7 linked regions of the Cricetulus griseus genome follow. Each later gene encodes a partner of the first gene's protein in a complex. Links are inferred from orthologs where the notes say so. Each region holds a gene or a part of one and is shown in the gene's direction. Other genes may lie near its edges. The genes, in order: Snrpd1, pre-mRNA-processing factor 6, Crnkl1, Bud13, Lsm5, Usp39 and Rbmx2.

What was found.
Region 2: Snrpd1 (region 1) and pre-mRNA-processing factor 6 share a complex: the UniProt entries of both Homo sapiens proteins name them as parts of the U4/U6-U5 tri-snRNP complex. The link is inferred for Cricetulus griseus from reciprocal best matches to the Homo sapiens genes SNRPD1 and PRPF6.
Region 3: Snrpd1 (region 1) and Crnkl1 share a complex: the UniProt entries of both Homo sapiens proteins name them as parts of the minor spliceosome. The link is inferred for Cricetulus griseus from reciprocal best matches to the Homo sapiens genes SNRPD1 and CRNKL1.
Region 4: Snrpd1 (region 1) and Bud13 share a complex: the UniProt entries of both Homo sapiens proteins name them as parts of the minor spliceosome. The link is inferred for Cricetulus griseus from reciprocal best matches to the Homo sapiens genes SNRPD1 and BUD13.
Region 5: Snrpd1 (region 1) and Lsm5 share a complex: the UniProt entries of both Homo sapiens proteins name them as parts of the U4/U6-U5 tri-snRNP complex. The link is inferred for Cricetulus griseus from reciprocal best matches to the Homo sapiens genes SNRPD1 and LSM5.
Region 6: Snrpd1 (region 1) and Usp39 share a complex: the UniProt entries of both Homo sapiens proteins name them as parts of the U4/U6-U5 tri-snRNP complex. The link is inferred for Cricetulus griseus from reciprocal best matches to the Homo sapiens genes SNRPD1 and USP39.
Region 7: Snrpd1 (region 1) and Rbmx2 share a complex: the UniProt entries of both Homo sapiens proteins name them as parts of the minor spliceosome. The link is inferred for Cricetulus griseus from reciprocal best matches to the Homo sapiens genes SNRPD1 and RBMX2.

The regions. Positions count from the first base shown.
Region 1 is NC_048595.1:225,869,094-225,873,131, reverse strand, and holds the start of Snrpd1 (small nuclear ribonucleoprotein Sm D1), read left to right. Parts: upstream 1-1,238; 5' UTR 1,239-1,381; coding exon 1,382-1,395; intron 1,396-4,038. UniProt on the Homo sapiens protein: Plays a role in pre-mRNA splicing as a core component of the spliceosomal U1, U2, U4 and U5 small nuclear ribonucleoproteins (snRNPs), the building blocks of the spliceosome.
Region 2 is NC_048599.1:257,795-261,294, reverse strand, and holds part of pre-mRNA-processing factor 6, read left to right. Parts: intron 1-373; coding exon 374-512; intron 513-2,473; coding exon 2,474-2,593; intron 2,594-3,066; coding exon 3,067-3,243; intron 3,244-3,500. UniProt on the Homo sapiens protein: Involved in pre-mRNA splicing as component of the U4/U6-U5 tri-snRNP complex, one of the building blocks of the spliceosome.
Region 3 is NC_048599.1:33,089,296-33,092,795, forward strand, and holds part of Crnkl1 (crooked neck-like protein 1), read left to right. Parts: coding exon 1-68; intron 69-505; coding exon 506-676; intron 677-1,885; coding exon 1,886-2,077; intron 2,078-2,753; coding exon 2,754-2,813; intron 2,814-3,500. UniProt on the Homo sapiens protein: Involved in pre-mRNA splicing process. As a component of the minor spliceosome, involved in the splicing of U12-type introns in pre-mRNAs.
Region 4 is NC_048597.1:158,020,970-158,025,267, forward strand, and holds the start of Bud13 (BUD13 homolog), read left to right. Parts: upstream 1-1,498; 5' UTR 1,499-1,613; coding exon 1,614-1,756; intron 1,757-4,158; coding exon 4,159-4,249; intron 4,250-4,298. UniProt on the Homo sapiens protein: Involved in pre-mRNA splicing as component of the activated spliceosome. As a component of the minor spliceosome, involved in the splicing of U12-type introns in pre-mRNAs.
Region 5 is NC_048601.1:84,604,514-84,608,588, forward strand, and holds the start of Lsm5 (U6 snRNA-associated Sm-like protein LSm5), read left to right. Parts: upstream 1-1,275; 5' UTR 1,276-1,351; coding exon 1,352-1,397; intron 1,398-2,316; coding exon 2,317-2,412; intron 2,413-2,690; coding exon 2,691-2,718; intron 2,719-3,640; coding exon 3,641-3,713; intron 3,714-4,075. UniProt on the Homo sapiens protein: Plays a role in pre-mRNA splicing as component of the U4/U6-U5 tri-snRNP complex that is involved in spliceosome assembly, and as component of the precatalytic spliceosome (spliceosome B complex).
Region 6 is NC_048601.1:64,050,706-64,052,934, reverse strand, and holds the end of Usp39 (U4/U6.U5 tri-snRNP-associated protein 2), read left to right. Parts: intron 1-677; coding exon 678-764; intron 765-1,280; coding exon 1,281-1,328; 3' UTR 1,329-1,729; downstream 1,730-2,229.
Region 7 is NC_048604.1:20,788,813-20,792,134, reverse strand, and holds part of Rbmx2 (RNA-binding motif protein, X-linked 2), read left to right. Parts: intron 1-2,180; coding exon 2,181-2,310; intron 2,311-3,322. UniProt on the Homo sapiens protein: Involved in pre-mRNA splicing as component of the activated spliceosome. As a component of the minor spliceosome, involved in the splicing of U12-type introns in pre-mRNAs.

The DNA.
Region 1 (4,038 bases):
AGAGGAAGAAGAAGAAGAGGAGGAGGAGGAGGAAGAGGGGGGAGGGGGAGGAGGAGCACATCATATTAAAGCATAAGACTGGAGATACCGGATGTTGGAGAGTGCAATAAACAGATTTTTTTTTTTTTTGCTTTCAGACACTATGTTCTCCTGAGTTCAGTATAAGTAAATAAATAATTGTAAGTGTGGTGATATTTTGTTTGTGATCTAACAAAGCTTGCCTGCAGATCAGAGTGCAGAGCTGGCCACACTAGTTAGCCACAGATGCCAGGCAGTGATGGCACACATCTTTAATCCCAGCACTCAGGAGGCAGAGGCAAGCATAGCTCTGTGAGATCTGGGATACCCCGGGATACATAAGATTGATCCAGTTTAAAAGAGAAAAAAGAGCCAGATGGTGGTGGCTCACACATTTAATCCCAATACTTTAATCCCAGCACTAGGGAGGTAGAGACAGGAGTGGTGTGGCTGGGCAGAGAGAAGCCGGAGGAGACAGGAGTCTGAGGAGGCAGTCAGTCTGAGGACAGGATGGCCCCTTTGGTCTGAACATTGGTAGAGGTAAGAACTCTAGTGGCTGGCTGTTCTGCTTCTCTGACCCTTCAGTTTTTACCCCCTGTCAGCCGAGTCTGAGGCTTTATTAAGAACAATTAGAATTCATGCTCCATGTAAGAATCAAATATAATAAACTAATATTATCCAATCTTCTTGGGATAGTGGAAATTATCTGCACTGTAATCAATGATACATATAGATTTTGAGTAGTTACGATGTGGTTATTGCAAATAAGGAGTTGAATTGTTTTATTTAACTTCATTTGAAATATCCACATAACTTTTTAAGTCGAAGAACTTACTATATAATGAAGGTCTTATTTAAAACTGTCCTGAGAATGGCTTTCCTGTTTTTAAAAAGGTTCTCAGTAGCTCTGGGGTTATTACAAGTCCCCAAAGGAAAACTATTATATACAAAAATCTGATTGGCTCAGCTTAGTTGTCAAACCAACTAGGAGAAACTTGTCGGGCCGGTTCTCTGCTTCCAACATGTGGGCCCCAAGGATTAAAGAAGTCTTGGAGGGGTTCTCTCAGATCTTCTCTTCCTTCCAACTGTGAAAGCGCCAGGCCATTATAAATAGTTTTAAGGTGAATCCTCCTGCAGATGTCTTCCACCAGCCACGCCGCGCTCAGACGGCGCAAAGCACTCCTCCCGTCGCTAGGGGCCGCTGTGGTTGTCCCGGTGGCCGGAAGGCAGCGCGGCTTCCGCGTTTCCACCGCGGATCCGCAGGCCTCCGTGCGCTCTTCCGGCCATTCATACGCCTAGTCGGTGAGTCTTTGGAGCTCGAATTCCGTGTCCAGTAGGACCAGAGGGAGGCTGCGCCGCTAGGATGAAGCTCGTGAGGTGAGGAGGCTCTCCGGGCGGGCCGAAGGCGGCGGGGACAGGGTTTGGGCGGGCTCAGGAAGCCGGGCCTCTGCGCCCTCAGGGAGGCGGGAAAGCCGCGTGCGCGCGGCCTGCTAACGGCCCCCGCGTCCGGGCCCGCCGCGCCCTTCTCGTTGCTGCCGGCGAGGAGCCGGCGCGCCCCGGCCCTGCGCGTCTTCCAAGAATGGGGGAGCCGAGCGGTTTCTGCTCGCCTCGTTTCCTGCGGCTTGAACGGAGCCGAGGCCGCTTTCCCTGGCCAGTCGGGCTGCTTGCACGGACGAGAACTCCAAAGCAGCATGGTTTTATCTGCAAACAACGACGCCGATCTGCTAGACGTTTTAGATAAAGTTCTCCTTTATTTTGGATCGGTTGTATGTAACTGGTTAATGTTGGCTTTCGACTCACGACAGTGTCCCAGGATGGGGCAGAAGTTAAGTTAATTTCGCCTGATTGCAGATTGTGTCGGTTAGTGGAGCTTTGTTTGCTGGTATGAATACTTCCAAACCAAATAGGCATTAGGCAGAGCCCGAAACAGGGTTTAATGCCTAAGCCAGTTAGAAATATTTAGTTTCTTGTTGAGTCAAGGACTGCTTATAGTCACCTGTTAAAAGTAGTGGTACGAGATTTTTCTTTGTGGTTTTTCGAGACAAGGTTTCTCTGTGTAACAGCCCTGGCTGTCCTGCACCTCGCCATGCTGGCCTCGAACTCAGAGGCCTGCCTGAAAAGGATTCAGTCATTATGCTGGCCTGCCCCTGCACTCACACAGTAGTACCCTGGTCAGCCCAGATGCAAAGCATCCCTTTAAAAGAAAGGTCTCTGTCCACTTATGCTCTCTTACCCGCTTTTTTTTTTCCCTCTCTCTCTTTCCTGCTGTTCCCCTGGGGCAGACAGGACTTTTCTTGTCTTTCCTGTCCTCTCTCTGTCTCTGTGTCTCTAACCCCCCTTTTTTTCTAATAATCTTCTCACTTAAGTCCTACTGCCTGGCATGATGTCCTTTCGACTGGGTCATCCTTGCCTGCCATGGAATCCACAAAGGTCCCCCACGAACATTTATCATAACACTGCCTCTGTCTCCGGAGTGTTGGGATTAAAGGCATGACCCATCACCGTCGGGCTACAAGATTTCTTTCTTTTCTGTTTAATGCTGAAGGCAGAACAGGTAACATCTGGTCTGTTTGAAATGACAAACACTCTGTTCAGGGGGAGTTGGAAGAGAAAGCATATAAGGTTAAAAAAAAAATTCCACCTGTTCTGGGGATAGCGCCTAGAGAGCTTCCAATAATCGCTCTACCTTTGACTATAGCTCCAGTTCTTTTGTATTTGGACTGTAACATTAGGTAGAAAGTCTCACAATTTAAAGTATACTCTTGCTGTTTCCCTGCTGCCTGATGTGAACTATCATGTGTTTGCAGTAACTTAGGTTTTTCCCATTTAAAGATTCTGTTACGACAGCTTTGCTTTTGGGTGGTGGTACCTGGGGTGTTACCTCGACTTCCAGCTAGCGTCCTAGGCAAGTGCTCACTCTGTTACTGATATGAACCCAGCCAGGGCTACACAGAGAAACTTCTCAAACAACAACAGCAATGGTAATAATAAGTAAGAGAATTCACAAAATGAAGGATTCACTGAAAAATTGAGACAGGATGTCACCAGGTTGTCTAGAAGTCACTCCATATCCCAGGCTGACTTCAGATTTGGGATCATCCTACTGCAGCCTACTGAATAACTGAGATTACAGATCGGTGCCTACATGTCTTAAGGGAATTTTTTTTAGCAGACTGTTATCTCCTCACCCACTCCCTTGTTTCTGAAAGAATTTCTGCTTCCTGAGTGCTGGATTAAAGATCTTCACCCCCATACTTGGCAATATAATTTTTTTTAAAGATTTTTATTTATTTATTATGTATACAGTCTTCTGCCCGAATGCCAGCAGAGGCACCAGATCTCATTCAAGGTGGTTGTGAGCCACCATGTGGTTGCTGGGAATTGAACTCAGAACCTCTGGAAGAACAGTCAGTGCTCTTAACTGCTGAGCCATCTCTCCAGCCCCCGGCAACATAATTTTTTAAGGTGGGTTCCTTTAAAAGTTGCTGAAACGCTGGACCTGTCTGGTGGTTTTTTATTATTATTATTATTATTATTATTATTATTATTATTATTATTATTATTATTATTATTATGTGCACGGTGTACTCCCAACCGCAGGTCAGAAGAAGGCACCAGATCCCATTATAGATGATTGTGAGCCACCATGTGGTTGCTGGAAATTGAACTCAGAACCTCTGGAAAAGCAACCAGTGCTCTTAACCTCTGAGCCACCTCTCCATCCCCTGAGTGTTTGTTGTAGTCCAGTGTCACCTATAGAAAGGGCCTGCTGCTTTCCTTCATAGTAGAATAGTGGTGAGAATGGAACAGATAATATTACTTGTGCAGTTTGCTGTAGTAGTTTACAAAGGATATTGTAGAAAGATAGACTAGAAAATCTGAATATGAAGTGTTGTTAGATGCTATTGTAGGATTATCTTTCCATGGCCATTTGGCTAAAATAAAGCATGGGTGATGCTGTAGAATTATTTCACTGCATGTAATTGTGGTATTGTGAATTACAGACTAGGAAGTCAGAAC
Region 2 (3,500 bases), on another chromosome or scaffold:
GTTTTGTTTGGGGGAGGGGGTTATGGGTGCCAGGGACCTTAATCTTTATCAATGAATCCAGGGTGTCCTCTGTGCTTCAAGATAAAAGGGCCTTCATTGTCACCAGACTGCCATGTTATCACTGCCCCCAGGATACATGGCTGTAAAAGGCTTTGCTGTTTAAACAATGCTTTGCTTTATAGAGTCCTCTTCAGTAGTTGATTTTAGATTCTTTATGGGAAAGAAAGATTTCCCTACACTCTCCCCATCGTAAAATCTCGTAAATCATTAATAGTACCGAACTTTGGAGTGGTAGCTGTCTTTTCAGCATCTAGATGGCTGTGTGCTCTGATTTATGGCCCTGACCCTAGTGACTATGGCCTTTCTCTTGCAGGGAGTCTCTGGAAGCACTCCTGCAGAGGGCTGTGGCCCACTGCCCCAAGGCAGAGGTGCTGTGGCTCATGGGTGCCAAATCCAAGTGGCTGGCAGGGGATGTGCCTGCAGCAAGGAGCATCTTGGCCCTGGCCTTCCAGGTAGGTAAAGGATGCCTGTATTGGAAGGGGCCATGAACACAAACTCAGTGTTAGTGCTACTGTGGCCTTAGAGCTTACCTTGTGCATATTCTTTGGGATATGTCATGATCTAGTCTAGAGACACTGGATTGTGTGGGTGGCCTTGTCTATGAGGCCTAAGCATGAGGAACATTGCAACCAGCCACACTGGCCTCAGTTCCCTTCTATTTCATATGACTATAGGCCAGGTACTCCAGAGTACAAGACCACAATGTAAGCTGCCTGGGTGCTTAATGCCTTTGTGAGAGTGCTGTCCTACTAAAACAGATATACTTACTGGCCTAATGAGGCCTAGCTGTTACGATACATACAATGTTACTAAAACAGATATACTTACTGGCCTGCTGAGGCCTAGCTGTTACAATACATGCAATGTTACTAAAACAGATACACTTACTGGCCTAATGAGGCTTAGCTGTTACAATACATACAATGTTACTAAAACAGATAGACTTACTGGCCTAATGAGGCCTAGCTGTTACAATACATACAATGTGTGTGTGTATAAGCTAGAGGTCAACCTAGAGTGTCTTCCTATATCACTGTCTACTTTTTTTTTTTTTCCTCCTAGACAGGGCTTTTCTGTGTCTTGGCTATCTGTATCTCATTCTGTAAACTGTCTGATCTCGAACTCCCTCTGCCTCTGCCTCTGCCTCCTGAGTGCAGGGCTGCCTAACACACCCTGAGGGGTTTTTTTGTTTTTGTTTTTTTGGGTTTGTTTTTTGTTGTTGTTGTTGTTGTTTTGGGGACAAGATCTTTCAATGAACCTGGAGCTTACAGCTTTGGTTCACCTGGTTACCAATTAGTCTTTAGAATTCATCTGACTACACCCTCTAGTACTGGGGTTACAGATGTGCATTGCCATGCCTGGCTTTTATGTGGGTGTCCAGTAAGCACTTTACACACTAAGCCATCTCCTTAACCTACATGTAACATTTAAATTTTTTTACAACAAAAAATGATCCTAATATTTTTTTAGAAGCATGTGCTATCCTCCTGTGTCTGTGTCTTTTTTTAAAAGATTTTATTTATTTATTATATATACAACATTCCGATTCCATGTATATCTGCACATCAGAAGAGGGCACCAGATCTCATAAGGGATGGTTGTCAGCCACCATGTGGTTGCTGGGAATTGAACCAGTCTAGTATCATAGCCCAGGGCAACAGTAAAGTTTGTCTGTTGTAAATAAGCACCAGAAGAGCTAACTTGCGTCAGTACAGCTGTTATCCGAAGAGACTATAGGAATAGGTGATAGTGCTGTGCCAGATAAGTGATGTCCTTTCTACATACAGTTTTCTCCTCAAGTTGTGTGCTAGAATTTTAAGGTGGTTCACTTTTACCATAACCATAGACACCATGGCCATGTTGCAGAAGTCTTTAAGGAGGGTAGGTACACATTATGAGGCACTACTTTTATGTCCCCTGGACTCTTAAGTTTGTATAGCTTGGTCCATGCCTGTGGGAACCCTTTACACTTCATTATCTCACCTTGATCTACCCTGACCACATGGGCTACCTGAGGGGAAGGGATGAAGTTAGATGTAGCAGATTCTGATGCAAAGATGTGAGTGAGCCAATCATAGTTTTGAAAGGCCGTGCAGAATTTAGATGCATCCTAGAGAGGGTGGCTCTACAATACTAGTATTGTTGCTTCATCTCTGTACAAGAGTAAAAGAGAGAGAGAGAGAGAGAGAGAGAGAGAGAGAGTGTGTGTGTGTGTGTGTGTGTGTGTGTGTGTGTGTGTGTGTTTCCCCCCCAAGCTGAGATCTACATTTCCTAGCTTGTGCAGAAGCATACTAGTCCTGTATCAGAGTGAGGTTCAGTTCACTTCTCAGACTGCCTGTTCTTAATTAAGTGTGGTCTAGCCCTGGTCACTTTTGTTTTGAGCCTTTTTGATGCAGCTGTGCTTATTCTCCAGGCCAACCCCAACAGTGAAGAGATTTGGCTGGCGGCTGTAAAGCTGGAGTCCGAGAACAATGAATACGAGCGAGCCCGGAGGCTGCTGGCCAAGGCACGGAGCAGCGCACCCACTGCCCGTGTGAGTGGTGGCTGGTGGGTGGGGCAGTATTGGCAGAGTGCCTCTTGGCTCATACATGGCATTGGGAAGGAGTGAGATGAGTAGGACAGCTCATGCCACAGCCCAATCGTGTTATTGGGCTTTAAAATGCATTTCTTTAGCTGGGCGGTGGTGGCTTATACCTTAAATTCCAGCACTTGGGAGGCAGGGGCAGGTGAATCTCTGTGAGTTCAAGTCCAGCCTGGTATACAGGGCAACATAGAGAAACTGTCTTGAAAAACCAAAAAAAAAAAAAAAAAAAAAAAAAAGGCATTCCTTTATTTATCTATACCTCTTGTATATACAAAAGAGCTACATACAACAACTTATGAGGTACAGGACAGATGTGTGTGAACGATGTCTATGATGTCATGTGTGTGATATGAAGGTAGTTAGCATCCAGATAGATGGTAGAAGTAACAACTCTGGTGTGATGGTGCTTGTCTGCTTTACAGGTATTCATGAAATCTGTGAAGCTGGAGTGGGTGTTGGGGAACATCACTGCTGCCCAGGAGTTATGTGAGGAGGCTCTGAGGCACTATGAAGACTTCCCCAAGCTGTGGATGATGAAGGGGCAGATTGAGGAGCAGGGGGAACTGATGGAGAAGGCCCGAGAGGCCTATAATCAAGGGGTGAGCCTCTATTAAGATGTCTTAGGGGCCAGGAGATGGTAGAGCACACCTTTAATCCCAGCACTCAGGAGGCAGAGGCAGGCACATCTCTGTGAGTTCTAGTCCAGCCTGCTCTACAAAGTGAGTTGCAGTGCAGCTGGAGCTACACAGAGAAACCCTGTCTTAGTGGGGTGGAGGGGGAAAGATGTCTCAAGGAATAGCATGACATTGGTCAATTTCCCATGCTTTTGAAAGAAGTGGAGGGCCAGTGGTCTGTG
Region 3 (3,500 bases), on another chromosome or scaffold:
TTGGAGATGAGCATATGGACGAACACCTGTATGTGGCCTTTGCTAAATTTGAGGAAAATCAGAAAGAAGTAAGTGTACATTGAGTTCATTTCTGTTTTATTTTATTCACTTATCCATAGAAAAATGTTTTCTAGATACAGAAACCTAACTTCGTGCATGTATTGACGAGCTATAGATTGGAGCTGAGTGATTATATATGGTAACTGCCTTAATTTGTTGAAGGAAAGGAGGACTGGAGAGGAACCAAGGCAGACTTGTGGGGCTTTGGGTGTTGAGCAGGTATGCCATGGCGGTGTTGCCTGCCAGCCTGGGAAGGATCCAGGATGGGTGAGGAGAAAATAGAAGCACAATTTTGAGACAGCATTAAATATGGAACTGAAAATAAGCATTAGTCCTTTCTGATCAAGGCCTCAAAATTTAATTTATAAGTAATAGGTTGCAGTTATTCTCAAGGTGTGACTAAAATGAGATTGTTTTGGATGATAATCTTCCTATCTGCTTTTAGTTTGAAAGGGTACGAGTTATCTACAAATATGCCCTAGATAGAATTTCAAAACAAGAGGCCCAAGAGCTCTTTAAAAACTATACCATCTTTGAGAAGAAGTTTGGTGACCGGAGGGGTATTGAAGACATCATCGTGAGCAAGCGAAGATTCCAGTATGAAGAAGAAGTGAAGGTGGGTGCTGCTGTAGATGGCTATGTTGTCAGTGCTCTCACATAATACTGAGTTGAGCCGGCGTTGGTGGTGCACGCCTTTAATCCCAGCACTCGGGAGGCAGAGGCAGGCGGATCTCTGTGAGTTCGAGGCCAGCCTGGTCTCCAGAGCGAGTGCCAGGATAGGCTCCAAAGCTACACAGAGAAACCCTGTCTCAAAAAACCAAAAAAAAAAAAAAAAAAAAAAAAAAAAAAAAAGGCAGGAGTTCCTATGTAAGCAGCCAAAACCTTGATTTTTTTACTATCACCCTGGCTCTGATGTCATTCCCTTGTGGAAAGTCCTTTTACTGATAGCAAACTGAAGAAATGTGAATGAACTGAACAAATGGGCAGGATGGATGGGGTCCTACTTGTAATCCCATCTCTTGGGAGACAGCGGCAGAAAAAATTGTTAAACCTTGAGGCTAACATAGGTTTCATATTGAATCTGTGCCTCAAAAGCTATGTGTCATCTATTTGAACTCATTTTTGGAAAAGAATGTAAGGGTCAAAGACGGACCCGTACACACACCTGCTTTGCAAGAGCAAGTGATCTACAATAGACAGTTCTGTTCTCATCTCCATAATACGTCATTTCAGGGTTAGATAGCAATATTTTCTCTCTGGGTTCTTGTGGCTTTTGCTTAGTCAGATTGAAGTAGCTCCTAACAAAGGGCCAAGTCTGGTGTTAAATGAAGTGGTAGGTCAGTAAGATGTGTTCAGGATAAATTATTGTTATTTGAAAAGGTGTTTCCTGGTTGAGAGTCTGATATAAACCCATTGTAATTTCATTATCAACATAATGGTAAATAGTCACATGTGTAAAAAAATAACATTTATACAAGCTGGAAGCTGTATATAGTGGCTCAAGCCTGTAGTCCCAGGACTGGCCAAGGCAAGATAATATAAGTTCAAGTCCAGCCTAGGCTATGGAGTGAGACCCTGTCTCAGAAAAAGAAAAAAGAAAAAAAAAAATGGAATGTCATTACCCAGTAGTAGAGGAAAGAGGCTTTACTGAGAGGTACCAGCCAGTGTCCTCTTACAGTCCTATACAATCTCAGGGATGCTGTTCTAAAAATGAGATAACAGGTAAAAACTAAAGAAAAAAAATGCTAAAGTACAGCAAGTTCTGACAGCCTGTCAAGTCTAGCTCTTGGTTCTGATTTTATAGGTTAAGCTGTTTTTTTTCTAGGCTAATCCACACAATTACGATGCATGGTTTGATTACCTGCGCTTGGTGGAAAGTGATGCAGAAGCTGACACTGTGCGGGAAGTCTATGAGAGAGCCATTGCCAATGTGCCGCCCATCCCAGAGAAGAGGCACTGGAAGCGCTACATCTATCTCTGGATCAACTATGCACTCTATGAAGAGCTGGAAGCCAAGGTGAACTGTGCACTGGCCACTAATGGCTTTCTTACCCCAGTGTCATGGCTGTGGATAGTAACTGATAGTTAAAACCTTTGAGGTAAACTTAGTTTTAAATTCTTTTAGGACTCTGTCCACCCACGTACATCATTTAAACTGTGTGCCTGTTGAGCCATGATGTTGTTTTGTTTTAAAAACCTCAAGGCACAATTAGATAGCATTTAAAACTTGAAAGGGAAACAATGATCAATGAAGCAGTTTAATTACATACAGTTTCCTAGTAATGTGTTTTTTTTTACAAAGAAGGATAATGGCCAGATTGTACATTTTTGCTTTTGATAAAAATCTAATGGCAAAAGAAAAAAAGAAAAAAAATCTAGTGGCATTTTCAGAAATAGATTATGTGTAAGTTAACAGGTAAAGACTACCCTCTGTCAATCTGAGACTGTAACATCTTTCTTTATGCTGTCAGGCCTTTATACAAAGACAATTCAGACTTTGATGGCCATATTGTTATTCTTATACCAAAGTTTGATAATCAAAGGTAGTTGCTATTTTCGATCATAAATGAAATCCAGATGTAAAAATAGCATCCTGAGAAGTGGGGGTGGTGTCTGTTTCTACTAGTAGTCATGAAATTAACTAGTAAAATAAGTATTAACATTTTTTTTAAATTATTTTAATCTTAATACAGGATCCTGATAGGACAAGACAGGTCTATCAAGCGTCTTTGGAACTAATCCCTCACAAAAAGGTACACTTGCTAGAACAAAATCCCGTTTTTATTACTTGTCAAATAATATGTGTCAGTTGAAAAATTTCAAGATCAGAAAAAGTACAAGTTTTTGCCAAAGGAAACACCTTACTACCTAGTTCATAGAGCAGCCCGTATTGTGATAAGCAGTGCAGACACTGTGTCGAAATCCGGGGGGCGAGGAGGGGGGGTGTAAGTAATTCAGAGAGGCAGATTGGAAGAAAGAAAACAGAGCATGTACCTAAGAGACTCCAAATGGGTCTTTTGATAATAGTGCATGCTTGCGTGTGTTGAATATGTGGCTTCTTTGGAGATGTTAAAATGTTGTTCTACCTCATTTCCCAACAAGAGAAACAGAGTTCTGTTGTAGAAGTGGTGAGTTGTTCTTAGAAATAGGATGTTCTACCAACTTGCAGTCCACAAAACATTCTCAGTAGAGGCTGCCATGCCATGAAGGATATCATACAGTTAGTTCTGTCTAGGTCATGGGTGTATGTGTGTCTGTAAATTTTTTTACATTTTTATTGGGGGGGGGGTTGGCTGTGCATTTGTCATAGTATACATGTGGAGGTCAGAAGACAACTTGGGGAGTTGGTTCTGTCTACCATGTGGGTCCTGGAGATTAAACACAAAGGTCAAGCCTGACAGCTGGTACTGTCATTCACTGAGCCCTTTCACCAGCCTCAT
Region 4 (4,298 bases), on another chromosome or scaffold:
ACACTGGCTGTCCTACTGTATCACTCCCCACCTTTAATCCTGACACTCAGGCAGAGGCAGGCAGAGTTTCAGGCCAGCCAGGGCTATACAGAGAACCCCTGTCACAAAACAAACCCAATCTGGATAACCTCGTGCACTGTATTTGGCTGGCCTCTTCTAGAAAAGTCAGAATTCGGGAGTATGAGAATGAGTTTGCTCCTATATTCCTCTAAACTTATCACCTATAAAGAGGCTAATAAAACTGAAGGCTTGGCCGTGTTGGTATATAGTCCAGCTACTTGGGATGCTGAGGCAGAAGGATAACAAACTCAAGATCATCCTGGGCAACTTAGCAAGGTCATGTCTCCAAAATTCAGAAAGGGGTGGGGGAAGTAGTTCTGCTACAGAACTCTTCCTTATCATGTGCAAGGCCCTGGGTTCAATCCCCAGTGCTTGATGGAAGAAGAAACAGAATTGTGGGGGTCAAGTGAAGATTCACCAAACACTTAACCCCCTATAAGAAATAGAATCTTCCTGGCTTTCTTTTCTTTGCCACATTGACAACAATTCCTTGTCATTTTTATTGGGAAGATTGTATACCATTTTCTTGAGAGATAATACCAAACGTGGAAAGGTCAATACAGGTTTGATGAGACCAATCCACTTTTCAGTCACAATATTGGGGGTGGGATTTGTTTGACTTCCCCTAAATGGCACTGTTCCAGTATACTGTCTACCAAAAGGTATTTATACCAATAAAAATAACCGAAATAGTTCTACTGGTGGTTTATTGTGGGCAAAAGAGCTGGGGGTCATCAGTAGGTACACCAGCTGGGTCAATCCAGCTGTCTTCCCACACCTGATCGTGGTACTTCCTGGTTCTTCGTTTATAAGGTCACCTCCACCAAGTACATACAATTATTTATAAAGAGCTCCTCATCTCCTTGGTGCCCTAACTCTTAATGGGCTTGGGAGTCCTCTTCCTCCTGCTCTGGGTTGGCATCTACCTATGAGTCCTCAAGGGTATCCACCAGGCAGCTTCACCAAGTCCCTGCTTTTGTAAATTCTTTCTTCTTTCTTCTTCTTCTTCTTCTTCTTCTTCTTCTTCTTCTTCTTCTTCTTCTTCTTCTTCTTCTTCTTCTTCTTCTTCTTCTTCTTCTTCAATAATGATAATAATAACTGAAATAAACTAATTGTGCTAGGCATTTGGCACAACATCCGTTATTAAAATGCTATTCAATAACTTGCCCCCAGTGGCACAGTTACGATCGGTCTCGTATTCAAATAGGTGCTCTGATCTCCTGAGTTTCGGTTCTTCCCTACTCCGGTGCAGTCGTCAGGGCAGGACTAGTTAAGTCGGCCTGTGACCTCTTTGCTGGAACAGTCCCGGCTGAGAGCGTTGCACGGATGTGTCGTCACAGGAAAGCAGAACGGCCCTACGATGCATTCATGCACCTCCCCTTCCCCACACCGAGCCTGTAAAGACATTTTTTAAGAGTCATGACACCTATCAGCCCCAGTAGCTCCATAAGGGCCACTCCTAGGGCTTCCGTTTCTGGCTCCACCCCCATCCGTTTCCCGTAGAAGAATTTTTGTCCCCAACGCCGAGCCGTTGCCCCGCCCTCGCCGCTGCCATGGCGGCAGCTCTGCCGCTCTCCAAGGCTGAGTATCTGAAGCGTTACTTGTCTGGAGCAGATGCTGGCCCGGAAGGAGGTCCAGAGTCGGTTCGGAAGCGGCGCAGAAAACGGCCGAAGCCAGGAGGCGCCGGTGGCAAGGGGTGAGTGGACTGATGGGGCATCGCGCTGCCCCTTTGCGCCCTCGGCCGCAGCTCTTCCTCCTCCCCGCCCGCGCGGCGCTGCGAGCGCTGCCGACCCAGGCCCGGCCCCGCTGCTCCCGAGCCGGCTCTTCGCCGCCGCCTGCAGCTCAGACCTCGTCCTCTGAGCAGTGTCTTCCATGCGTTAAGGCCAGCTAGAACTTAGAACTTCCTTACTGTTTTCCCGCCTTTGTAGCCTTGTATCGTCCCTCGAACAGATTGAAAAGTCGTGCCCTGAGAGTAGTAGAACTAATTAAAAGCCCCAGTGATTGCGGTTTTTTTTTTTTAATGTTAGAATTCAAAAATCTGTTTCTGGGGCCTTCAAAGTATTAGGAACTGATCTGGAACCAAAGATCTAAGTCCTGTTATTCTTGCCTACTACTAACAGTAACAACTAATATGGGTACAGTTCCTATCATGTGCCTGGCCTCTTTCTAAAAACTTTGACCATATAACTTTCAGGACATTGTGGTGAAGTAGACATTGTTTTAAATAATATACTTTCCAGGTTCGAAAGAGGGATGTGCTGAGACAGATTTCGGATGCAGTGACTTGGCCACTGGAATCTGGAAAGGTTGGGATAGGAGATCCAACATCAGCCCACAGGACAAAAGAAATTATAGACTTTAGAGCAGCGACCCTAAGTTTAGCAGCTTGCTAAGAAGGTACTATTTTGGATACAAGGTCGAAACTCTGGAAGCTAATCCCGTTCTTATACACCATGCCTTGGGTCTGCTGCTTGCTAAGAGCTTAGCAGCTTAGAGAATATAAAGTGTGGTTCACACCCCTCTATGGGGGAACCATCGTGAGCTGACAGTATTATTCTCATATTTCTACTGAGAAAATTCTGTGGCCCATTGAAGTGGGTAGACTAATTCCCTAATTCCCTCTTTGCCCAAATTTACCTTCATTTGGGACTTCAGCATGACATCAATCTTTGTGGTGTTACTAGTTGAGCCTATATTCAGTTAAGGTATGTGGTAAATTCAGTGTGGTTCTTTTTTTTTTTTTTTTTTTTTAATTTTTCGAGACAGGGTTTCTCTGTGGCTTTTGGAGGCTGTCCTGGAACTAGCTCTTGTAGACCAGACTGGCCTCGAACTCACAGAGATCTGCCTGCCTCTGCCTCTGGAGTGCTGGGATTAAAGGTGTGTACCACCAACGCCCAGCTCAGTGTGGTTCTAAGAAGGAGCAATGCCATTCAGGGAACATGGTTTAAGCTTTGGAACAGCACTAACTGGAATCTGAATCCTAGCAGTGCTACTTTATAGCCTGGGTCATCTTGGGCAAGAGAGTTCACCTCTCTGAGACTCGGAGTCCTAGTGGTCCTGAACACTGCTGTTTGTCTGAAATGGCTGTTGTGATTAAAGATGTAGCATGTGTTCCTGGTTTTTCAAATACCTCTTTGCAGCACAGATCACATCCATTGGATGCCATCATCTTTCAGCAGTTGGTACACTGGTTACTCAAGTCCACAGGTACTTAAGTTCCTCCACACAATGATACAGTATTTGTGGGTAAACTATTCATATCCTCTTTAAATTGTCTCTAGGCTACTTACAAAACCCATTGCAACTTAGGTGGTGTACTGGCTGGATTTGTGTGTCAACTTGACATAAGCTAGAGTCATCAGAGGAAGGAGCCTCAACTGAGGAAATGCCTCCATGAGATCCAGCAGTTAGGCATTTTCTCATTTAGTGATCAATGTGGGAGGGCCCAGCCCATTGTGGGTGGTACCATCTCTGGGCTGGTGGTCCTGGTTCTATAAAAAGCAGGCTGAGCAAGCCATGGGGAACAAGCCAGTAAGTCGCACCCATCATGGTCTCTGCATTAGCTCCTGCCTCCAGGATCCTGCCTGTTTGAGTTCCTTCACTGATGAACAGCAATGTGGAAGTGTAAGCCACTTGGGAGGCAGAGGCAGGTGGATCTCTGAGTCCAAGGCCATCCTGGTCTATGGAGCAAGTTCCGGGATAGCCAGGGCTGTTATATAGAGAAAACCTGTCTTCAAAAACCAAAACCAAAAAACAAAAAGGTGGACAGTGATGGAGTGAACTGACAGTAGGAGTCCATATACACAAAGACTGAGCCATACTTTTGAACTTTAAAAGCCAAAAGGTGAGATGGCCCAATGCTTGCCAACGAGCCTGACAGGCTGAGTTCAATCCTCTGAACCCACATGGTGGAGGGAAACAACTGACTCCTGCAAGTTGTCCTCTGACTTCTATATGTATTCTATGACACACACACACACACACACCCCGTCACACATACACACACGATAAATAAATGCCAAAAAACAATAGGTAAGTGTACATAGGCCTGTGTCCCAGAATGAGTTCTTTTTTGAGGCTTTTATTGTTCTCATCTAGAATGCGGATTGTTGATGATGATGTGGGCTGGGCAGCTATTTCTACCACTAAGCCGGAAAAGGAAGAGGAAGAAGATGGAGATTTGCCTGTGGTATGTTATCTTTTGGAGTCTTGTCAGGACTTTGAAATGATCCAAGCAT
Region 5 (4,075 bases), on another chromosome or scaffold:
AGTAGGTACACGAGATTTATGGAATGGGGTTTGTGGGGAAAAGCCACCACTGGCTTGAAATTGAGAATGGAGTGGAGTTTCCAAGGATCCCTAGAGGCATTGCTTTATCTATTAAACTTCATAGTGCTATATACATACAATTTATTTGTCCTTCTTCTCACTCACTCTTGTAGAAGACTTTTCTGTACATTGCTTTATATACCCAGCGAGCTGCTAATTAAACGGTGTATGAGGGGTGCTTACCAAACACTGTAAAAATGAATGGTGTTGATTATGATCTCTCCTATTCAGATTGTTTAAGTCCCTCAGACACAAATGAGACAACCGAAGCTAAAGAATTTGCCTGCTGCTTTTTTTTCTTTTTAAGTAGGGACAACCCAGGTCTCATGAAGTCATGAATGCTAGGAAAGCACTCTAGTGCTAAGCAAGGTGGTTAAGCTCTCATTAGTTTTTATTTCCTATTTCGTGTCAGGGTCTTACTAAGTTGTCCATGCTTGGCAACTGTGGCCTCCTTCTGTTTCTTAAGCGCTGGGATTGCTGGCCACTCCTCACAGCAGCTTTTTATCTTTTTCCAAAACACAAGTGTGATAGCATGTTTTCCAAATGTGATGACACCAACATACGGAGTGACATCTAGCAGTTACCTGTAAATCAATAAGTGTTAGTAACTGCAAAAGCCTGCAATAAACTAGACTTCTAAAAGGACAAGAAGAAGCCGGGCATTGGTGGTGCACGCCTTTAATCCCAACATTGGGGAGGCAGAGGCAGGCGGATCTCTGTGAGTTCGAAGCCAGTCTGGTCTCCAGAGCGAGTTCCAGGACAGTCCCCAAAACAATACAGAGAAACCCTGCCTCGAAAAACCAGAATAAAATAAAGTAGCAAAAATTAAAAAAAACCTTTGAATACTCGGTATAGAATATTTTTAAAAGATGCTTCGTAAGGGTTTTCAGTACTCTAGGCTTAAAAGTACAGGATTCCTTAAGAAAATGAGTAGTAGTTGAGACAAACGCAGAACGAGTTGGTGATAGCAAATCCTCATTGATTTTATGGCTCTGAAGAAAGATCCAACCTTTTAGAGGAAAACTAGCCGACTCAGAGATCTCGTATGTTGTAGTCTTCAGGCAGATATAGAGGAGACAAACTGTCAAGTTAGCAAAACTTCGGGGGCACGGGATGGTGGCACCGATATAGTGCGGAACTATTCTATCGAGTCTGTCGGTGATCCATTTGGATACCCCGCGATCGCCAGATCTGCCTCCGATTAGTTCCGTCTGAGCCAGTTGTGGGAAAGGGCGGAAGCGCGCTCTTTTAAAGTCTGCGCCCGTAGCCCTATGCCACTTCCGGCGTGGCCATGGCGGCTAACGCGACCACCAACCCGTCTCAGCTCCTGCCGCTAGGTAAAAGTCTCGCCCGGGGCGCGGGCGGGTTGCTGCGGCCCCACGCCCGCGCCGGAGGCTTGCCCCTGGGGCCGCTGCGGAGACCGAGCCCGTTGTCTGTCGGCGGCCGGCGGGGGCCCCACTTGGTGAAGGACGCCCTCGGCCTTGCTTGTGAGCTCGCCGGTTAAGATGTCCCGGTGCCGGCCCAGCTCGCAGTGTGGCCTTTCCGGTCTACACCTTAGGGAGCCCCTGTATTGCATTTGGCGGTGTGAGGAGGGCGCCACGGTCTACAGTGACTCCTAGAAAGAAATCTGGAGACTAGCTCCGTCATTCGTTCGTTCATTCATTCATTCATCCATCCATCAAGCAGTTCCCTCCCCGTGCCAGGGTACTGTTGAATAACGAATTTAAACTACGGCCATTGCTTTCAGATAGCACACTGAAAGACTTCGTGCCGAGCAGTTCTCGGTTGGCCACGGAGATGCTCAGGTTGGTCTCCAAGCACAGAGCTAAAGGCAAGATGAGAGAAGTGACAGGAAGCTGGTGTCGGTCGTGAGGCCTCTCCTCTGTCATGTTTTGGCGCCGGTGAAGTTAGTCAATGTGGCAATGATGGAAAGTTCTTGCAGGGTCCACTCCAGGGTATGTTCATCGGCAGAAACACTGATGAGGAAAAACTAACATGGTTTCCACCTTGTGGTGTAATTGTTTTTCATACATTAACCAAATAGTCAAAATCACAGTCCCGTTAGTTGCAGCAAAAAAGGAGGTAAGCGAAGGCCAAGACAAACATTTGTGCTAATGGCTGAGCGGAGATTTGTGTAAGATGTAGTTATTTAGTGACTGCTTTTTGTTTCTCTTTAATGATACGGAAATAGTAAAGTGAGCACTCGAATGCTTGTTGAACTAATAAGTGGGTAAAACAATCTTTTTCTTTCCACAGAGCTCGTGGACAAGTGTATAGGATCAAGAATTCACATTGTGATGAAGAGTGATAAAGAAATTGTTGGTACACTTCTAGGATTTGATGACTTTGTCAGTATCCTTTTAAAAAGTGTTCATGGAACAGGTTTTTAAAGATGTATTAATATAAGAGCTGTAGACAGATGACATATTTCTGTTTATTACATTAAAAATTATTTATTTTCCAGGAACTTGGTAACATTTTAAGAGGTGTGCTTGCAGAAAGCAGATAGGGTTCTCTCCAACAACAAACCTTTTGAATTTGCACCATTGTGTTGAACATTTTTGCAACCAAACAAAAACATAAACCAGAATAAATTCAACCTTGTTTATTTTCTTAACAACAAATTTCAGATATGGTGTTGGAAGATGTCACAGAGTTGTGAGTAGTATTAAAAATGACAAATAAATGGGGGAGGAGAGGAGGAAATATCTTTTTGAATTAAAGGCAGGTACCCTAGTTCCTTTTCTGTTACTGTGAAGAGACAGCATGGCCAAGGCAGTTTATAAAAGAGAGCGTTTACTGCGTGGGCTTGCTTACAGTTTCAGAGGGTTAGAGTCCACGTTTTTTCATGGTGAGGTGTGTGGAGGCAGGCAGGCAGGCAGGCAGGTGTGGGGCTGGAGCAATAGCTAAGTGATTCTATGTTGAGATAACCATGAGACAAACAGAGAGCCAACTGGTTATAATTTATTCTTTTGAAACCTCAAAGCCCACCGCCACAGTGACACACCTCAGACAAGGCCACTCCTCCTAGCCATTCCCAAACAGTTCTGTCAACGTGAGCCCGTGGAGGCCATTTTCATTTAAACTACAATAGCAGGATTAGTATGATGGATAAAGTATTACCTGTTGGAATTCTTTTAATGCTGACTTATTTACCGGTATTTGTGAGGTTGGGCCAGAAGATTATTATCTTAATGTCATTATTCCTGAATTTCTAAGAAATTAGTGTAAACACGCTTTATAGTGACTTTACATTTACTTCTATATTATATCTTTGTAATATATCTTTATATTTACTTCTGTATTTATGAAGTTTTATATTTACATAACTATTATCTGGTGGGCAGACTGTATTGCTGAAAATTATTGTAATTGTATGAGTTCACATTCATTCATATGTAAGAATAACAGTTTTGATGCTAGGGATTGAACCTAGGGCCTTGTGCTCTGCCACCCAGGTGGTGCTCTGCCACCGAGCTAACCTCTTTACCCCAGGAATAATTTTTAGAGAGGAAAAGCGTTTCCAAAATAATTGCCTTTGAATACTTGTTTATCCTGACTCCATTTTTTATCTATTTAGTGAAATTACACCAGAAGGAAGAAGGATTACAAAATTAGATCAGATTTTACTAAATGGAAATAATATAACGATGGTAAGACATTAAAGCTGTTTTATTTTGAATTTAATTACTTTTATAGGGCAGGGATTACAGAACACTGCTGCTTAGCTCAGTGTTCACGGTCTAGACATGCTGAGGATGGGAAGGGAGCCTTCAGTGATCAGTGCCCCAACGCAGCTATTGAAAGAGCATTGGGCCTTAAGATTCATTTGCTTATTAATCTTTATTACCTTTAGTTCATCAGGAACCATTGTTGAAACTCTTAAGCATCAATTAATGTTGGGATTACTAGCAGATGTTGATGATCTGGGAAATGGGAATTGAAGGATAGGGGAGAGACAGTGGTGGCTTTGGTCCATGAGGAGCACATGGGGAGTTTTAGGTGGTATGATAGT
Region 6 (2,229 bases), on another chromosome or scaffold:
TCCTCTTGCCTCTGTTTCCTGAGTGCTGGGACTAAAGGTGTGTGCCACTACCACCTGGCCCACTTCGAGGTTTTTAGCAGCCAGCTTCATGTACTTTCTACAGGGTTTGTCTAATTTAGCATTTCTGACAGGAAAAAAAAAAAAACATTTGAGACTGGAAGGACTTCTCTTTTTCCTCTTGAGAGGCCACATAAATTCCCCTTTAAAAGTATAGAAGAGGGTCTTGGGGATTTAGCTCAAGTGATAGGGTGTCCAGCTTGTACAAAACCTTAGGTTTGATTCCAGACACTGAATGAATTGGGTGTGGTGCCATACACCTGTAATGCCAGCACTCTTGAGGTAGAAGCAGGAGAATCAGAAGTTCAAGGCCTTCCTTGATTAAAGAGAAAGTGTGATGTTAGACTGGGCTTTGTGGGGGACATCCCTACACACAAGGAGCGAGGGGGGGAGAGAGAAAGAGGAGAAAGGGCAAAGAAGAAAGCAGATTGTTTGGGACTTATTTTATTTCAAAGACTCCTTGACAGGAATTGAGGTTGCCAGAACTATTCACTCGGTCTAGCCAAGGTTATGGCTCTTGTTGATATTTAGTAGCCATCTGATACTTGTGACTCTCGCTGTGAAGTCTTTATACCTCTGGTTTTGGAGAGCAGGTTAACCGAACCCTTGTCTTTGTGCAGGGCACCGGCAAGTGGTATGAATTACAAGACCTTCAGGTGACTGACATCCTGCCCCAGATGATCACATTGTCCGAGGCATACATTCAGGTGGGTGTGGGCCAAGGTAGGAAGTGGGATTGATGTAGTCTTGCTCACAGGCCTGGGTGCTTCAAGAGTGTGAGGGGACCAGATTATGTGGCCCCAGAAGGCAATCAGATTATCAGAAAGGAAAAGTATAGAAGCCTGTCAGTCAGCAAGTGAGCAAAGTGTGTTTGTGACCTTGTGAGTTTAGCAGAGATCTGTAACTCTAGTCCCAGCAGATCTAAAGCTGTCTTTTGACCTTTGTGCACACCAGGCATGCACATGGTACATACATACATATGTGCAGGCAAAACACATTAAATAATAAATAAATCTGAAAAAGAATTTTAAAAAAGGAATGGAAGAAAAGTTGAGGGTAAGTGGAAAAATGTAAATGAATGAAAGGGAATATTCTGGAAGAGTATGCATCATTTTCGGTGAATGCAGCACGTGTACCAGTGGGGTGGCGTGCTCTCTGCTTCCTGACAAAGAATAGTTACTTGACTGACTGACTGAAGAGCTCACTGTTTCCATTTCTGACAGATTTGGAAGAGGCGGGATAATGATGAAACCAACCAGCAGGGGGCTTGAATGCCAAGGGAGTTGGCTGAAGATGTTAAATACAGATACTGGACTGACTGGAAGATTCCTGCCCCAGCCCAGTTTTTATTGGTCTGGCTGCATCACCATCAAAGATCCTGTCTGCCCTGGTGTCCTGTGCTGTCTCCAGATGTTCTCTGATCAGCACATTACAAATGATACTCCTTCCTTTCAGCATCAGCAGGCAGAGCTCCTACAGATGGATACCTTCTTGAATTGTTGCAAGTATCAAAGAGCAGATAATTCCTTGGAAACATCGTCTTGAGATTCTAGGAATAAACATGAAGCTAACAGCATCCTTCTGTCTATCATAGGTAGATGGTTTTCCTATAGTTCCTTTCTCTCCCATGGGACTTTTGGAATGGATTAAATATCCTCCTGTTTTTAAGCCAGCCTCTTGTTTTATGTACCTCATTTAGACTTGCTAAGAGGTTTATTTTCCTTTTTAACTTGTAGACTATCTGCCCTGCAGTCTGTCGTCTTGTAGGCACCTTTCTTGTCTCTTCCTGTCAGCTTGTAGGTGGTTTGTCATTTGGAGTACATTTGTCTCTAAGTAACAAACTATTTTGCTAAAAATGATAAATTGTTGTGCCTAACTAGAAGGCTAAAAGCAGGTGATTTCAGACTGTAGTGCTGCTTTGGAGGGCTGAGAAATGAAAGGACTAGAAAGAGCAAGTCTCAGCCAGACTGATTTGGAGCCCAAAGTAGAGGGTGAATGGCCAGGGAATTGGGCCACTCATTGATTCAATAGCCTTGAGGATTTGAGCCTTGGCAGGAGCACTGAAACAGGCCTTAGATGTGGGAAAGCAGCCCTGCCACAGGAGGCAGGTGATTACAGCAGCATCTCTTTGAACCTGTTTCTTCCCCCCCTTCTTTTATCTCCCTCCCTCCT
Region 7 (3,322 bases), on another chromosome or scaffold:
CAGTCTGCACTACAGAGTGAGACCCTGTCTCAAAAAGCCACCAAAGCCAGTTTAATTCCAGTCTGAATGACATCCCTGTGTGGTGAAGGCTAGAGCTTTGATCAGTCCCAGGCTAGATAAGGTTTCAGAACATTAGCATGTGGGAGATCCCAGAGCTTAGATCATTTGAGAGGCTTTCTGAAGGAGCCTAGTTCATTTCTGTCAAGTTTTTCCTGAACCTTGTTCAGCATGGACTTGCATTAGAACAAACTGGAATTCCCAGGAAAGTGCAGTGTTGACCTCTCTATTTGGGTTCCTATAAATTAGAGGTCATCCATGATGACAGGGCCCTCTGGGCCCTATCTGTGTGGCATTGTAGGATTAGGTCAGAGCACTGAAAACTTGGGCCAAACAGACACAGATTTAGCCTGGTTTTTATCAGCATTGCTGGATTGTTCCCTGAAATGGTTTTACTAATATCCACTCTCACTGAAATGCCTATTTACCCAAATCCTTTTTTTCCCTTTTTGATATAGGGTTTTTCTGTCCAGCCCTGGCTGTCCTGTACCTTTCTGTCTTGTTACTTTACTGAATTGTTATGCTGTTTATTTTTGTCATTGTCTATCATTGATGCTGTTCAATTTTCTATATACACTCTTGTATATAATCTGCAGATACTTTTACTTTTTCATTTCTTATATTAGTTTTATCTAACTGCATTATCTATGCCTCCAATATATTGTCAAATTGTTCTCAACCTTATTTGAAGCACATTAACCTTTTTGCATTTTGATACTAGATTTGGGGTTGGTGTGTATATGTGTAACCATATAATTTATATGTACTCATATAACTTATGTATCAATTATAGTTTTATTTTCTGACTCTTATAAAGCTTTATTTGGAATTGGTTTTAAAAGAAGTAAGGCAGACTATTTTTGTATTCAATTTTTGTATTCAATTCAAATTCAATTTGATCTTTATTAAAGTCTGTGTTTATTAGGTTTGTTTTATTTCATATTTATGCTTTTAAAAGAATCAAATTCTTCAAGGTTACAGATTTTCCTGAGTAGTGAGGCTTAGCTGCATCCTATAAATTTTCATGGCATTTTAAAATTTGTTGTTAGTTGCTAAGTGATATACCATTGACCTTTTAAATTTTGTTTCATTTTTCTTTCATCCATCTATTAGCTAAGAGAATAGGTTTCAAGTTCTGGTTAGCTGCAGGTTTTTATAAAAATATTTAAAAAAATGTTATTGTATGGGTATTTTGCTTGTATGTTTGTCAGTACCACATGAGTGCCCAGGCACAGAAGAGGACGCCAGATGCTTTGGAATTGGAGTTACTGATGGTTGTGAGCCTCCAAGTAGGTGCTAGGAAGTGAACCTGGGTCCTTTAGAAGAGCAAAACAGTGCCCTTAAACATTGAGTCATCTCTCTAGCTTCAGTAGCAAGCTTTGTTTAAAATATTATTTAAATATTTGTTTAAAATATTATTTCTAGTTTTATCACACTGATTGGTGAGTATATACTGTAGATTTTTAGAGTTTATTTTTAATTGATCCTCAAAAAGATTTGTTTTTAGTTCTGTGTCTGTGTGTGAGTGTGTGTGTGTGTGTGTATGTGCATGTACATACTCATGCTTGTAGAATCAATCCAGAGGCATCAGATTTCCCCAGAGACACAAAGGTTGTGAGACACCTGGCTTGAATGCTGGAAACTAAATTTGTTTTTTCTGCAAGAGCAGAGGTGCTCTTAACTTCTGAGCTGTCTTTTTTCCCCAGAAACTTTAGTGCTTATTGATATTTATTTTGAGATCTTACCAATAGTGAATCTAATTTGTTTTATGAATTCTTGAAAATAATTTATCTTGTTATATACTTCAAAAATACCTATATGTTTCCTAGTCTGACATTAGTGGATTATTGGCAATTATTTTTATTTCTGTTTCTTTTATGTTATTTGATATTAATTCATCTGGTCTTATTCCTTTAAGCTTTGTTTTAAACTTAAAAATCTCCAATAAGTTTCTGTTTCTTTTTTGTAGCCCTGGCTGACCTGAAAATCGAAATATAAACTAGGCTGTTTTCAACCTGCTGTATCATCTTGTTCTATTTCTCCTATACTGATTATTTGAATTGATCATTCAGTATGAAAATGTTTGCATTTTAAATGAATAATACATTTTATAAACTAAACAGATATGGGGAGATTGTCAACATTAATCTTGTGAGAGACAAGAAGACGGGCAAGTCCAAGGGATTCTGTTTCCTGTGCTACGAAGATCAGAGGAGCACAGTTCTGGCTGTTGACAATTTCAATGGAATTAAGGTAACTGCTTACTATGCAGGATTTGACTGGATTTTTCCTGTGTATGGGTTAGGCGGCATTCTTTTTTTTTTTTGTCTCCTGTTTACAGGTGTAGGAATAGTACTGGTCAGCTGGATGTATTGTGGGGGTTGTAGAGGTGCCTAGACACACTGGATAGGCAATGATTCCAGGAAACGATTTTCTGGCTTATGCATCTGCCAGGACTTATTCCTTTTCCGTATGTGTTAGCAAATTGTCATTCCAGAAACATGGGTACTGTGCCCCCTTATCTGGGGGATGTTTTTCTTATACACATTTTCCATCTGTTCTAGTGGATTAGAAACTAGAAACACTGCTCTTGGATATTGTGCTGTGCTAGGGAACCAGGGGCTTCATCATGGCTTTGTGAGCTAAGACAGAGCCATGTATATCTAGCATATGATTCCAGTGACTTCACATATTGGCTCCTGGACATTCTTTAGTTAAAATCTGGTGACTAATTCTATAAAAATAAGCCATTCTGAAATTTTAAAGGAGTAGTCTTCAGAAGAAGTCACCATCAAAGGAAAATTGCTTTTTAAATTTTTTTTATCAAAATGATAAATAGACAAAAGCTTCTCAGGCTTAAAGGTACACATAAAAATGTACTCTAGAAATGGAACAGTAAAATTGAAATTCAGGGTTCAGATGTTATTACCTGGAGAGAAGTGTATCTATTTGAAAATAGACTGTTTATAAAACACAGGCTTCATTTTGTTGTTCACCTTTGAAACTCTAGCTTATAGTCCAATACTCAGTTGGAACAGAAAGGTCCTGTTTGACAGGAGTAGAGAAAGGTATGAGAGCTCAAGAAAAAAGGAAGTAAAACTTGGAATATCCTCAGTGAGAGATGCTTCTCTATGAGACCCTTGATTCAATACCACCATAGCAAAAGCATTTTGTTTCCTTGGTCTTATTTTGCCTTTGTTGAAACAGCAGCTTTAGATTTCATGTTTCTGGCCCTCATGCTTTTCTAGGACATGTTTTCTTGTTA